Linked DNA regions of Ovis aries. The protein of the gene in region 2 purifies or fractionates together with the protein of the main gene of each other region. This does not show direct contact. Links are inferred from orthologs where the notes say so. Each region holds a gene or a part of one and is shown on either strand. Other genes may lie near its edges.

Evidence for each region. Proteins that work in one complex are often made in the same cells at the same time.
Region 1: the proteins of NFKBIB (region 2) and POLR1E purify together in Homo sapiens (affinity purification with mass spectrometry; 3 studies listed by BioGRID and IntAct, counting the BioPlex papers as one, with this or other methods). This does not show direct contact. The link is inferred for Ovis aries from reciprocal best matches to the Homo sapiens genes NFKBIB and POLR1E.
Region 3: the proteins of NFKBIB (region 2) and NFKB1 purify together in Homo sapiens (affinity purification with mass spectrometry; 7 studies listed by BioGRID and IntAct, counting the BioPlex papers as one, with this or other methods). This does not show direct contact. The link is inferred for Ovis aries from reciprocal best matches to the Homo sapiens genes NFKBIB and NFKB1.

What each region holds. Positions count from the first base shown.
Region 1 is NC_056055.1:51,256,211-51,259,725, reverse strand, and holds part of POLR1E (DNA-directed RNA polymerase I subunit RPA49), read left to right. Parts: intron 1-577; coding exon 578-663; intron 664-3,381; coding exon 3,382-3,440; intron 3,441-3,515. UniProt on the Homo sapiens protein: Component of RNA polymerase I (Pol I), a DNA-dependent RNA polymerase which synthesizes ribosomal RNA precursors using the four ribonucleoside triphosphates as substrates.
Region 2 is NC_056067.1:47,982,187-47,986,242, forward strand, and holds the start of NFKBIB (NF-kappa-B inhibitor beta), read left to right. Parts: upstream 1-1,252; 5' UTR 1,253-1,317; coding exon 1,318-1,496; intron 1,497-3,724; exon of another isoform or gene 3,725-3,797; intron 3,798-4,056. Other genes in the region: SIRT2 (NAD-dependent protein deacetylase sirtuin-2), read right to left, coding at 1-29, 864-879. UniProt on the Homo sapiens protein: Inhibits NF-kappa-B by complexing with and trapping it in the cytoplasm.
Region 3 is NC_056059.1:22,544,758-22,548,272, reverse strand, and holds part of NFKB1 (nuclear factor NF-kappa-B p105 subunit), read left to right. Parts: coding exon 1-121; exon of another isoform or gene 122-728; coding exon 729-898; exon of another isoform or gene 899-1,218; coding exon 1,219-1,321; exon of another isoform or gene 1,322-2,054; intron 2,055-3,106; exon of another isoform or gene 3,107-3,133; coding exon 3,134-3,258; exon of another isoform or gene 3,259-3,340; intron 3,341-3,515.

The sequences.
Region 1 (3,515 bases), on a different chromosome or scaffold from region 2:
CAACTCCGCCATTTACTGATCTCTGGTTTTCTTCTTGGTACAATGAAGATTGTTCAGCGTGTTCAGTCTCACTGTCAGGCATTGCATAATGCAGTGTCCCTATGAAGATATCCATCCATGAACCACAACCAAGGCCCTTTTAGAGTCATCTCCCCCTTCCTCCACCCCAGCAGCTGATAGAACTCCGATGAATGTGTTTGTGCTTGAAACTTTTATCATCTCTTTACAAAGCTTTTCTAGTTTAAACTAGTCTTCTCGTAATTACCAAAGTTTTGTATTTGCCTCCATAGAATTTACCCATGGAGTAAATTCTAGTGTAGTTCTAGATTGTTATATCCCAAAAGGTTTTACCACTACACCAGTGACCCCAAATGTGATTAGCTATAAGAATCACCTGGTGACTTCCCTGCTACCCTTCCTGTTTCCCCCTTCATTACCCTCTGCTTGCAGAGAATATCTGCTGTGGGGGATTATTGTTACTCATGTGTAAGTGGTGCCTTTTAAGCAGAAACAAGGAGATTGCATAAACAATACCTTTTGAATGATCCATTGTCACTGATATTCCTTTTTTATTTAGGCACTTTGTGGGAATTTTGAATAAGACCTCTGGCCAGATGGAAGTATATGATGCTGAATTGTTCAACATGCAGCCACTGTTTTCAGGTAGGTTCTAGTTATGAAGGCTCAAGGAAAGGCTGAATATTTTAGGTTTGCTGGATGCATCAGTTTGACTTGTAAACTACATTTTGTAGCTGTTTTTTTAAAGGTTTTTTTTTTTTTCACTTGACAAAGTTTTAAAAGTGCTTTTACTCAACAAATATTTATTGATGACCTACTATGCCCCAGGCGCAAGTTAGGGGCTGTGAATATACCAAAACAGACACAGATTCTGTCCCTACAATGTTTACAGATTGAAGATCAAAATCTAATCTTAGTTTAAGCAGGTTGAGCAATGATCAGAGCAGAGTAATGGAGGGCATCTCTGATACTCTTTTTCATCGAGGGCCTTTCTTAATTCTTAATGGTTCTAGTTGGGGTAGAGGTTTCAGAGTCTCTGGTAGGTTGTAGAAGTTGCTTATAGGTTGGACAAAGGTTGATGCAAAGTCTCTACACTTTGTAATTTGGGAAGAGATCTATTTTTTCTCTAACCCACTGGGAGAAGTTGCAATACCTCTCTTCTCTGGCATTTTAGAATGTATTGGGCTAGAGTGGGATCTTTGAAAATGATAGATAAGATGGTCAAACTCAAGGGGCTCCTGTTTCTAAATCTTAAATACTGAGAACCATGGTTGGGGAGGGAATTAGATAAGGATTATTAGGATCATTGTGAATCTGCTTGATACCTTCAGAGGCATTAGTTCTGTTCTGGCAAAGCAGTGGTCTCAGCGTTTCTTGTAAAGAACCAGAAGTACTTCTGAGAAACATACATAATATACAAAAAATATGAGATTTTGCATATAATTTTAAAGGGCTCTTACATCCCAAAGGTCATCTGTGAATTTCCTAGGGGTCCATAGTCTTCTAGGTGAAGAATTTCCTCAAACATATAAATTATCCGTCAAATGCTCTTCTAACTTCCAATGAACAAAGAAAATTGTTCATTAATTTGTTATTTAAACACATTTGTAAATATTGATTAATTCCAACCAGCATATATAAAAAAGACACACACACATTTATTGGGTCCTTACTATGCTCTGGGCACTGTTGTAAGCACTTTCAATGCATTATATCGCTTACTTCACTTTTTAATCAATGATGAACCTGAAACAGAAGTTAAATGACTTTGGCAGGAACATAAGTAAGAGACCTGGGATTTAAATGCAAGCAAGGTCACTTCAAAGCTTATACTCCTGTCCACTAGATTATTGCCCCTTATATGAATACTCTGGGAGATCAGAGAGCTTCATGTAAAATAATACATATCTCATGTTTATGCCTACTTTTAGGTCTTAAAATTTAAAAAAAAATTTTTTTATTGAAGCATAGTTGATTTCTAGTATTTTGTTAGTTTCAGGTGTATGGCATATGATATATATATATTGTTTTTTTGGCAGATGATATTCCAGTATAGCTTATTACAAGCTATTTGGTAAAATTCCCTGTGCTATACAGTAAATTCATGTCACTTATCTATTTTATGTATAGTAGTTTATATCCCGGAGAAGGCAGTGGCAACCCACTCCAGTACTCTTGCCTGGAAAATCCCATGGACGGAGGAGCCTGGTAGGCTCCAGTCCATGGTGTTGCGAAGAGTTGGACACGACTGAGCGACTTCACTTTCACTTTTCACTTTCGTGCATTGGAGAAGGCAATGGCAACCCACTCCAGTGTTCTTGCCTGGAGAATCCCGGGGACGACGGAGCCTGGTGGACTGCCATCTATGGGGTTGCACAGAGTCGGACATGACTGAAGCAACTTAGCAGCTGTAGCAGCAGCAGTTTATATCTATTTTTAATCCCATACTCCTAATTTGTACCTCCCCTACATCCAGAGGCTCGTTGGCTCAGATCATGTGCCAGGCTGTGGTATGGAGAGCCCATGCAAACCTTCCTTTCCTTTCACATCCCTTTGAATGGGCAGTGGTGGGGTCCCAACCCTACTACCTGGTTACCTGGAAATCTTTCTTCTGCCAATTTTCAGTTAGTTTTCCACGAGAACTGTTCCGCATATAGATGTATTTTTGATGTATTTGTCAACGGGAGGTGATCCCCGTGTCCTCCTCCTCCTCCTCCTCCTCGGCCTTCCTGATCCCTCCTCCTCATCCCTTTTACAAGAAGGGCAAAGCTGTATACTGGAAAGAGCATAGGACTTAGTTTCTAATCTCATCTGCATTGCCTAGGGCAAGTCATTTCGCCTGGAGGCCTCATGTTTCCTTGGATCCCTTCACTTGATTCCATAGTTTATTCTCCAGACCCTCTATCTGTATACTGAAGCTTCATATTGAATGTTCATAGTACACATGCATGTTAAGCTCTGGGAAGTCCTGTAGTAGAGAAATCTGGTTTTCTTAGATTAACTGTTAACCAAATATTAAACACTCTTACTGTCTGCAGGCAATGGAGAAGGCAGTGGCAACCCACTCCAGTACTGTTGCCTGGAAAATCCCATGGACGGAGGAGCCTGGTGAGCTACAGTCCATAGGGTTGCTAAGAGTTGGACACGACTGAGCGACTTCACTTTCACTTTTCACTTTCATGCATTGGAGAAGGAAATGGCAACCCACTCCAGTGTTCTTACCTAGAGAATCCCAGGGACAGGGGAACCTGGTGGACTGCCGTCTCTGGGGTCGCACAGAGTCGGATGCAACTGAAGCGGCTTAGCAGCTGTCAGCAGGCAAACTTAACAGTTTGCTTTTTTTCTTTGTTTTATGTTTTGTAGATGAATCAGTTGAGAGTGAATCAACACTGGATAGTCAAGCCAAATCTTTCAGAGAAAAGGTAAGTGTGACAGAGCTAAGATGTGAAGCCTAAAGTGAGTTCCTTCCAGGCCTTGAGTTTCTCCATCAGTAATAT
Region 2 (4,056 bases):
CCCTGCCTGGGTCTCCTCAGGGTCAGAGGCTGGGGGAGGAGGGGGAGCAGACGTGGTTACAGTGAAGGGATTGGTTAAGGGGGAATGAAGGGCTTCTAAGTCGGGGTAGAGAGGGGCAACAAGACCTCCAACCTAGTTATATGGGGTGGGGGTATCAAAAGGGAGTAGATGGAGGGAGGGAAAGGAAGAAAAGCAGATCTTATTAGAGTGGAGAGTGCTGGGAGGAGAGGTGGTTGGTGAAGGACAAAGAGGCTGGGACATGGAGGCTTAGGAAAGCGAAAAGAAAGTAAAGCATATAAGGGCATGAAGGAAGACTTAGGAGGAGTTAGGAAGGACACAGTAGTGTGTGAGTGTGTGCTGGGAGGGTTAGGTTTACAAGCAGAAGAAAATGTAGAAAGAAAGAGAAGATAAGGGATACTGGGGCTGGAGGCAAGTTTGCAAGAAGAGGTGGTGGGGGCGGAACGGAAGGGCGAGATGGCAGGTTTACAAGAGGAAGGAAGAGATAGGAGGGGACACCAGGGGTCCCCAGCACCCTACAGTTCCCACTAACAACCAGGTACCCTTAGCAACCCGGACAGCGGTATTCTAAGTCCCTAGTAACAAGGGTCCTTAGCAACTAAGGTGCGAGACACACGCTATCATTAGTCACTTAGGGGAAGTGGCAAACGGACCCTTAAAACCTCGAGACCCAGAAACCCACCAATCTATCCAGCAATATATATCACAACGGCTCCCTGAACCTCATTCCCCTCCATGCAGCCCCCATCTCCTGCCCCACCACTCCCGCCCTCGGGCCCCGGGGCCTGCAGCCCTCAGCCAGGCCCCGGCGCGGCCCGACCCTCCCACCAGGGCCCCCGACTCACGATCCGGATCGGCCATGGGCGCGGGGCGGGGGCCCTCGGGACTGTCACCGACTGCTCTATCCCGTGACGGCACCGGAAACAGGAGGGGGGCAGAGATAGGTCAAAGAACTACAACTCCCAGGAGGCATAGAAAAACGTCCGGAGCGTGCCCCTCTGAGGTAAGAAGAGACACGCGAGAGCCGGACTACGAATCCCAGAGTGCCTCGCGTCCGCAGCCATGTTGGTAAAGGGCGCGCGGAATGAGTGGGAAAGGGTAGAGAGTCGCAGTCCATCTGAATACTCTGATTGGTCACGGTGTAGTATGAGGGCGGGGCGCTTACTATTTAGCCGACTCTGATTGGATGAGTCCGGGGGGAGTGTTGGGGAATTCCCAGCAGGGCGGAAGCGCCAGAATTCCAGGCAGAGCCCAGCGACTGGCGGGCAGCCGCTGGGGTCCCCTGAGGCTTTGGGGGCTATGGCCGGGGTCGCGTGTTTGGGGAAAGCTGCGGACGCCGATGAATGGTGCGACAGCGGCCTGGGCTCTCTGGGTCCGGACGCGGCGGCCCCTGGAGGACCTGGGCTAGGCGCGGAGCTGGGCCCGGGGCTGTCGTGGGCGCCCCTCGTTTTCGGCTACGTCACTGAGGATGGCGACACGTGAGTGAACCTTAGCCTGCCACACCGAGCCTTAGGATGATCCCACATCTGATTCCCTGTTAGTCCCTGATACTGATTTTCCAACCTCTTAATCCTAAATCTGTCTTCTAATGCTTACTCTGACCTCTAACCCCCGAGTCTAACCCTTGATAAAATCAATTTCCAAGCTAGTTTTTATCATAACCCCGTCCTTTCTGAAACTTTGGCCCTCAGAGTTTCATATCCATTGACTAATTCCACATTCAAAACTCAATTTGAGCTTCCTGACCCCAGTCCTGAGACCTATCTTAAAACTATAGCTCACAGGCTCCTTCTGACATCTCACCTCCAAATATGATCTTTGATCCTTAGCTCCTAATTTAGGAGCTTTAAATTTTGATTTCCAAAATTAACATTTGGCTTTTGACTCTAAGATCTCCCACTTTCTGAGCACTGATCTTCAAATCCTACATTGAAAGAGAAAATGTAAACTCTATGACAGCAAGGATTCATCTGTTAAACAAGTATTTATCTAGCACCTACAGCGTTTCAGGCCCAGTTGTAGATGCTGGTGATAAAGCAGTGAAGAAAGCACAACAACTTATGCCTTGTGGAGCTTACGTTCTAGTGTGGGGGGTCTATAAATGGAAGGGCAGACAGACTGACAGGAAGGAAGAAAGGAACAGTAGGAGAAACAAAAAAGAAAGAGAGAAGGAAAGAAAGAAACAGAGAGCCGTATAGACACAAAGTAAGAAAGAGAGAGGAGAGAGAGAAGAAACAGGCAGAAAAACGAACGAAAGAAAAATGGTGTGTCAGAAGACAGGAATTTCCTTGGTGAAAAATAAAGCAGGAAAGAATGAGACAAGTAGATTATCTGGGGAGAGTATTCCAGGTAGAAGGAACGACGTCATAAAGACCTAATTGAGGGAATGTACCCGGGGTTTTTGTGTGTTGTGTTTACTGCCGTAGCCCCAGTGACAGAACGGTGTTTGACCCATAGGAGGCGCTCAAGAAACACCGGTCTTCCCAGAGAACCAGCTGTGCTTTCATTTATTTTCTCTCGTCTCTTTTTTTGCTTTCTGTTGTGTTTATCTCTGTTTTGACTTTCGTTATTTACTTTCTTCTGCTTACTTTGAGTTTATTTTTGTTCTTTTTCTAGTTTCTTAAGGTGAAAGCTGAGGTCATTGATTTGAGGCCTTCCTATTTTTCTAATATAGGATTCATGTGAATTTCCCGAAGTAGTGCGTGAGCTGTATCTCATCACTTCTAATGTGCTGTGCTTTCATTTCCACTTAATTCAGTATAGTTTCTAATTTCTCCTTTGATTTCTTCTTTGGGCGGTGGATTATTTAGGAGTATGTTATTTAGTTTCCAGATATTCCGAATACCTTCCTTTTATTGGTTTGTAGTTAAATTCTATTGTGTGTGCAGTTGAAAAGAATGTCTGGTATCTTGTTGTTGAGTGTAGTTCTCCAGATGTCAGTTAGAGGTTGTATGGGTTTCTTTTCTAAAACTTTTATTGATTTACTTTTGGCTGTGCTTCGTCTTTCTTGCTGCCCACGGACTTTCTCTAGTTGCGGTGTGAGGGCCTCTCATTTTGGTGGTTTCTCTTGTTGCGGAGCAGTGTCTCTAGGGCACAGGCGCAGTAGTTGCTTCGCGTTGGTTTAGTTTCCCCGAGGCATGTGGGATCTTCCCGGATTAAAGACTGAGCCTGTGTTCCCTACCTTGGCAGGTGGATTCTTTAGCACTAGACCTGTAAGTCCTGTGCTGGTTTCTTTGGTTCTTCTCTTTTCCAAGTCTATTATATCCTTGCTGGTAATTTCTCTCTACTTGATCTATCAGTTACTGAGAGTAAGGTATTGAAATCTTTAATAATAATTGTGGGTTTCCTTGTTGTTTTATCAGGTTTTCCTTCATGAGACTGGATGCTCTGTTATAAGGAGTGCAAATGTTTAGGTTTATTGTGTCCTCTTCCTGAACTGACCTCTTTATCATTGTGAAATAATCTGCACTATCCCAGGTAATATTCCTTGCTCTGAAATCTTACTCTTATTTTAAAACACTCCTACTTACTTTTGACTGACAGGCGTTAGTATGGTATATCTTTTTCCATCTTTTTATTCTTAACTTAGTTTTAAATTTATTTGAAAAGCTGTTACTTGTATAGTTAGGTTTTGCTTTTTAAAAAAAAATGTTTATTTTTAATTTATTTGGCTGCATCGGCTCTAGTTGCAGCATGTGGGATCTTGTTCCCTGACCAGGGATTGAACCCTGGCCCTCTGCATTGGAAGTGCAACGTCTTAACCACTAAACCATCAGGGAAGACCCTAGGTTTTGCTTTTTTATCCACTCTGACAGCTTCTCCTTTTTTAAAATTTGTGTTTATTTAGCTGTTTCTTTTTGGCTGCACTGGGTCTTGGTTGCTGCACACAGGCTTTGTCTAGTTGTGGCGAGCGGGGTATGCTCTCTAGCTGTGCTGTGCAGGCTTCGCATAGTGGTGGTCTCACTTGTTGGGGAGCACGGGCTCTAGAGCACACAGGCAGTTGTGGCACGTGGCGTTAGTTGCCCCACGGCATGTGGA
Region 3 (3,515 bases), on a different chromosome or scaffold from region 2:
CTGGACCGCTTGGGTAACTCTGTTTTGCACCTCGCTGCCAAAGAAGGACATGATAAAATTCTCGGTATTTTACTCAAGCACAAGAAGGCAGCACAACTTATTGACCACCCCAACGGGGAAGGTAAGAGACAATCACACATCGTGGTGTAACCTCTGTCTGCTTTCCAAACAATAAGTAGCTACCAGATAAATGTGCCTATTTGATCTGCACCCCAAAGTGCTTTCCTTAACCACTGGGAATTCATCGTCTCTCATGGAAATTTCCATTGCTGGCTGCAGCTAATTCCTTTAAAGATGATCTGGAATAGTTAGTAGGAGGGAAAAGCAAGACCTGAGCAAACACCATTCTGGATATGTATAAAAAGTATTAGCTGCTCAGTCATGTCTGACTATCTGCGATCCCATGGACTGTAGCCCGCCAGGCTACACATTCTCTAGGCAAGATACTGGAGTGGGTTATCATTCCTTTCTCCTGACCCAGGGATCAAACCTGGGTCTCCTGCATTGCAGGCAGATTCTTTACCACCAGGGAAGCCCCCTCAATATGTAGAAAGCATCCTTTATTCAGAGAATGTTTATGTGCTCTCATTGTCTCTAGAACACAAAAGGAGTCTGGGGTTTACATGCAGGACAGCTGACTTACAGCACCTATAAAGACTGGAGTAGAGACCCATGCTGACCCCCAACAGCCTTGCCTCCCCGTGACCATCCCTATGCTTGGGCCGTAGGTCTGAATGCCATACATGTAGCCATGATGAGCAACAGCTTGCCGTGTCTGCTGCTGCTGATGGCTGCGGGGGCCGACGTCAACGCCCAGGAGCGGAAGTCGGGGCGCACGGCCCTACACCTGGCTGTGGAGCATGACAACATCTCCTTGGCTGGCTGCCTGCTCCTGGAGGTGAGGGATGCACTTACCTGCCTTCTCATTCAATTCCCAAGGGTATCTGGGAAAATCTTTTCAAAGAACAACTTGGCTAACAGCTCATCTCCCTACCGTCGGCTCTACCTGTGTAGTATCTACTGGAGGCTTCAGAATAGCCGCTCAGGCCCTCCAGTATTCCCCTGCCCGGCATCTCTGAGGATCTCTGCACTGGCAGAGCCTGCCTAGAATACAGCTGGGCCTGTAGCATGACCTGGAGAGCCACGCATGCAGGGGAGGTGGGGACAGAAGGGCGAGAGGACCTTGAGCTAACCGTTTTCTGTGTGGGCGGATTTTAGGGTGATGCCCACGTGGACAGCACCACTTATGACGGAACTACACCCCTGCACATAGCAGCCGGGAGAGGGTCCACCAGGCTGGCGGCTCTTCTCAAAGCAGCAGGTAAGGCAGCCTGGTAGTCAGCCCTAGAGAATGTCATCAGGAAGGCAAACCCAGACTGCTAGAGCAGCCAGGCCGCCTCCTTAACCTACGGACGTGCTGCAGAAAGGCACAAATAAATAAAAGTGGCTGCAAATCCCACTTAGCAGCCATGAAGGCTCTGTTTGTATTAGTAACCCTGGGTGCCATGCTGATGGTCATGTTAGTTTTTACTCACCTGTTTTGGATTTGGATTAAGTTGAGTCCCATGACAGGAGATCCTAAGGTTGAACTGAATTCCTTGTAGAATTTGGAGCAGTATCAACCTTAAGGTCCCATCACAGGTCCTCAGAAGGAAGCGTTTATTGGTATAATAAAGCACTTGAAGACTTCCATTTGTAAGAAAGGTCTCTGAGAAGCCAAAATGATAGGGACAAACACATGGGCCGTGTGTCAAGTGCTGTCATGTACCAAACCCTAAAAACTGCTAGCTTCTGTTGGGCTAGGTATTTCACACTGTCTCATTTAATCTTACTTAATCTGCAGTGACCCTTTGAGACACATCCCATTACTATTCCCATTTTATAGCCAAGGAAACAGACTGGTGAGACTTTTGCATCCCAGTTCCTGGACCCCAGTAAGGGGCAGAGCTTGAGTCACATCTTGTCACCTTGAACTTCCAGACTCTTCTCTCTCTGTTTCTCTCCCCTGCTTGGCTCAAGGATGTAGAGTGTTATTCCAATTCAACCCTTTCATCCTGTGAGATAAAGGAAAATTATTCCTGCTCATCTTTGAATCTCCACTGCCTTCTACATTTAGAACCTCAAAAATGTTTAATTGTAATTGGTATCTCAAGCCTGTCCTGGCATATTTGATTTACTTACAAGGTTATTGTTTTTAGAAAATAAATGCCTCACCAATTCAAGAAAATAGCAGATTAAATACCTTCTTTAAAAAAAACACAACTGAGACTAGGAAAAATATAAGAACCTTTTCTTTGGCACCGTATTTTTCTGACATCATATCCCAAATAAGCAGCCTTCTCTTTTCTCCTTCATCAAGCTGAACATTCCCATGAACAAGAGACGGTGATTGTAGTGTTTATGGTTAGTTTGGGGAGTCACTGGTTATGATAATAAAATGCCTTCAGACTAGAAGCTATGACCTTTCAATAACTACACATCCTACCAGAAGGTCTTCTTGGTGCTTTGCATTTAAGGATCAGTGCCATAACCCAGGAATAAAACACAACAGGTTGGCACTAGACAGAAAGCAGCTTTGCTCTTTTGAGCAAACAGGTGAAGACACAGAAACACGAGGTGCCAGGCATCAAGTTGAACACATGGGGCCTTAAGCCTAAGGGTGTGCCCTTGTTGTTTAGTCGCTAAGTCATGTCCAACTCTTTGTGACCTCACGGACTGTAACCCACCAGGCTCCTCTGTCCGTGGGATTTCCCAGGCAAGAACACTGGAGTTGGCTGCCATTTCTTCTCCAGGGGGTCTTCCCGACCCAGGGTTGGAACCTTGTCTCCTGAGCCACCAGGTAGCCCCTATAAACCACCGTCCTCAGTCCTCAGGTTAAAGGTGCATCGCTCACAACTATCCTATGGGGTCAAATGTGAGCGTCAGTCCAAGTCTGTGTTTTTGACAGTATCCGTGGCTATACAGAGCTATCATTGGTCACCTTTACAGTCAAGATATATTAGAATTTAAAGGCAGGTTTCTGGATATTTTAGTGGAAATGTATTTTATATATTCATAGAATCTGACCCCTGTGGGAAGTGAGGAGCCGAGAAGATGTGGGTTTTACCTAATGCTGTGTGACTTGGCTCCACAGGAGCAGATCCCCTGGTGGAGAACTTCGAGCCTCTGTACGACCTGGATGACTCCTGGGATGAGGATGGAGAGGATGAAGGGGTCGTACCAGGAACCACTCCTCTGGACATGGCCTCCAGCTGGCAGGTGAGCCCCGCTCCACCAGCGTGTTGGCTGCCTCGGAGGCGGCAAGTGGTCTTCCTCAGTCTTTATTCCCCAAAGCCCGCACCTGGTATTTTTAAAAGACAGGCTGCTTGTCACGAGCTGTATTTATCTTGAAAAGCCTATCCGCTAAAGATCTAGGTCAGCAGAGTTCTGAACATAAAAGCGTATGCCTAATCAGATCAGAGTTAGATGAGAGAAACTCAGAATTCACAAAGCGTGTTGCCCATTCTGAACTCAGA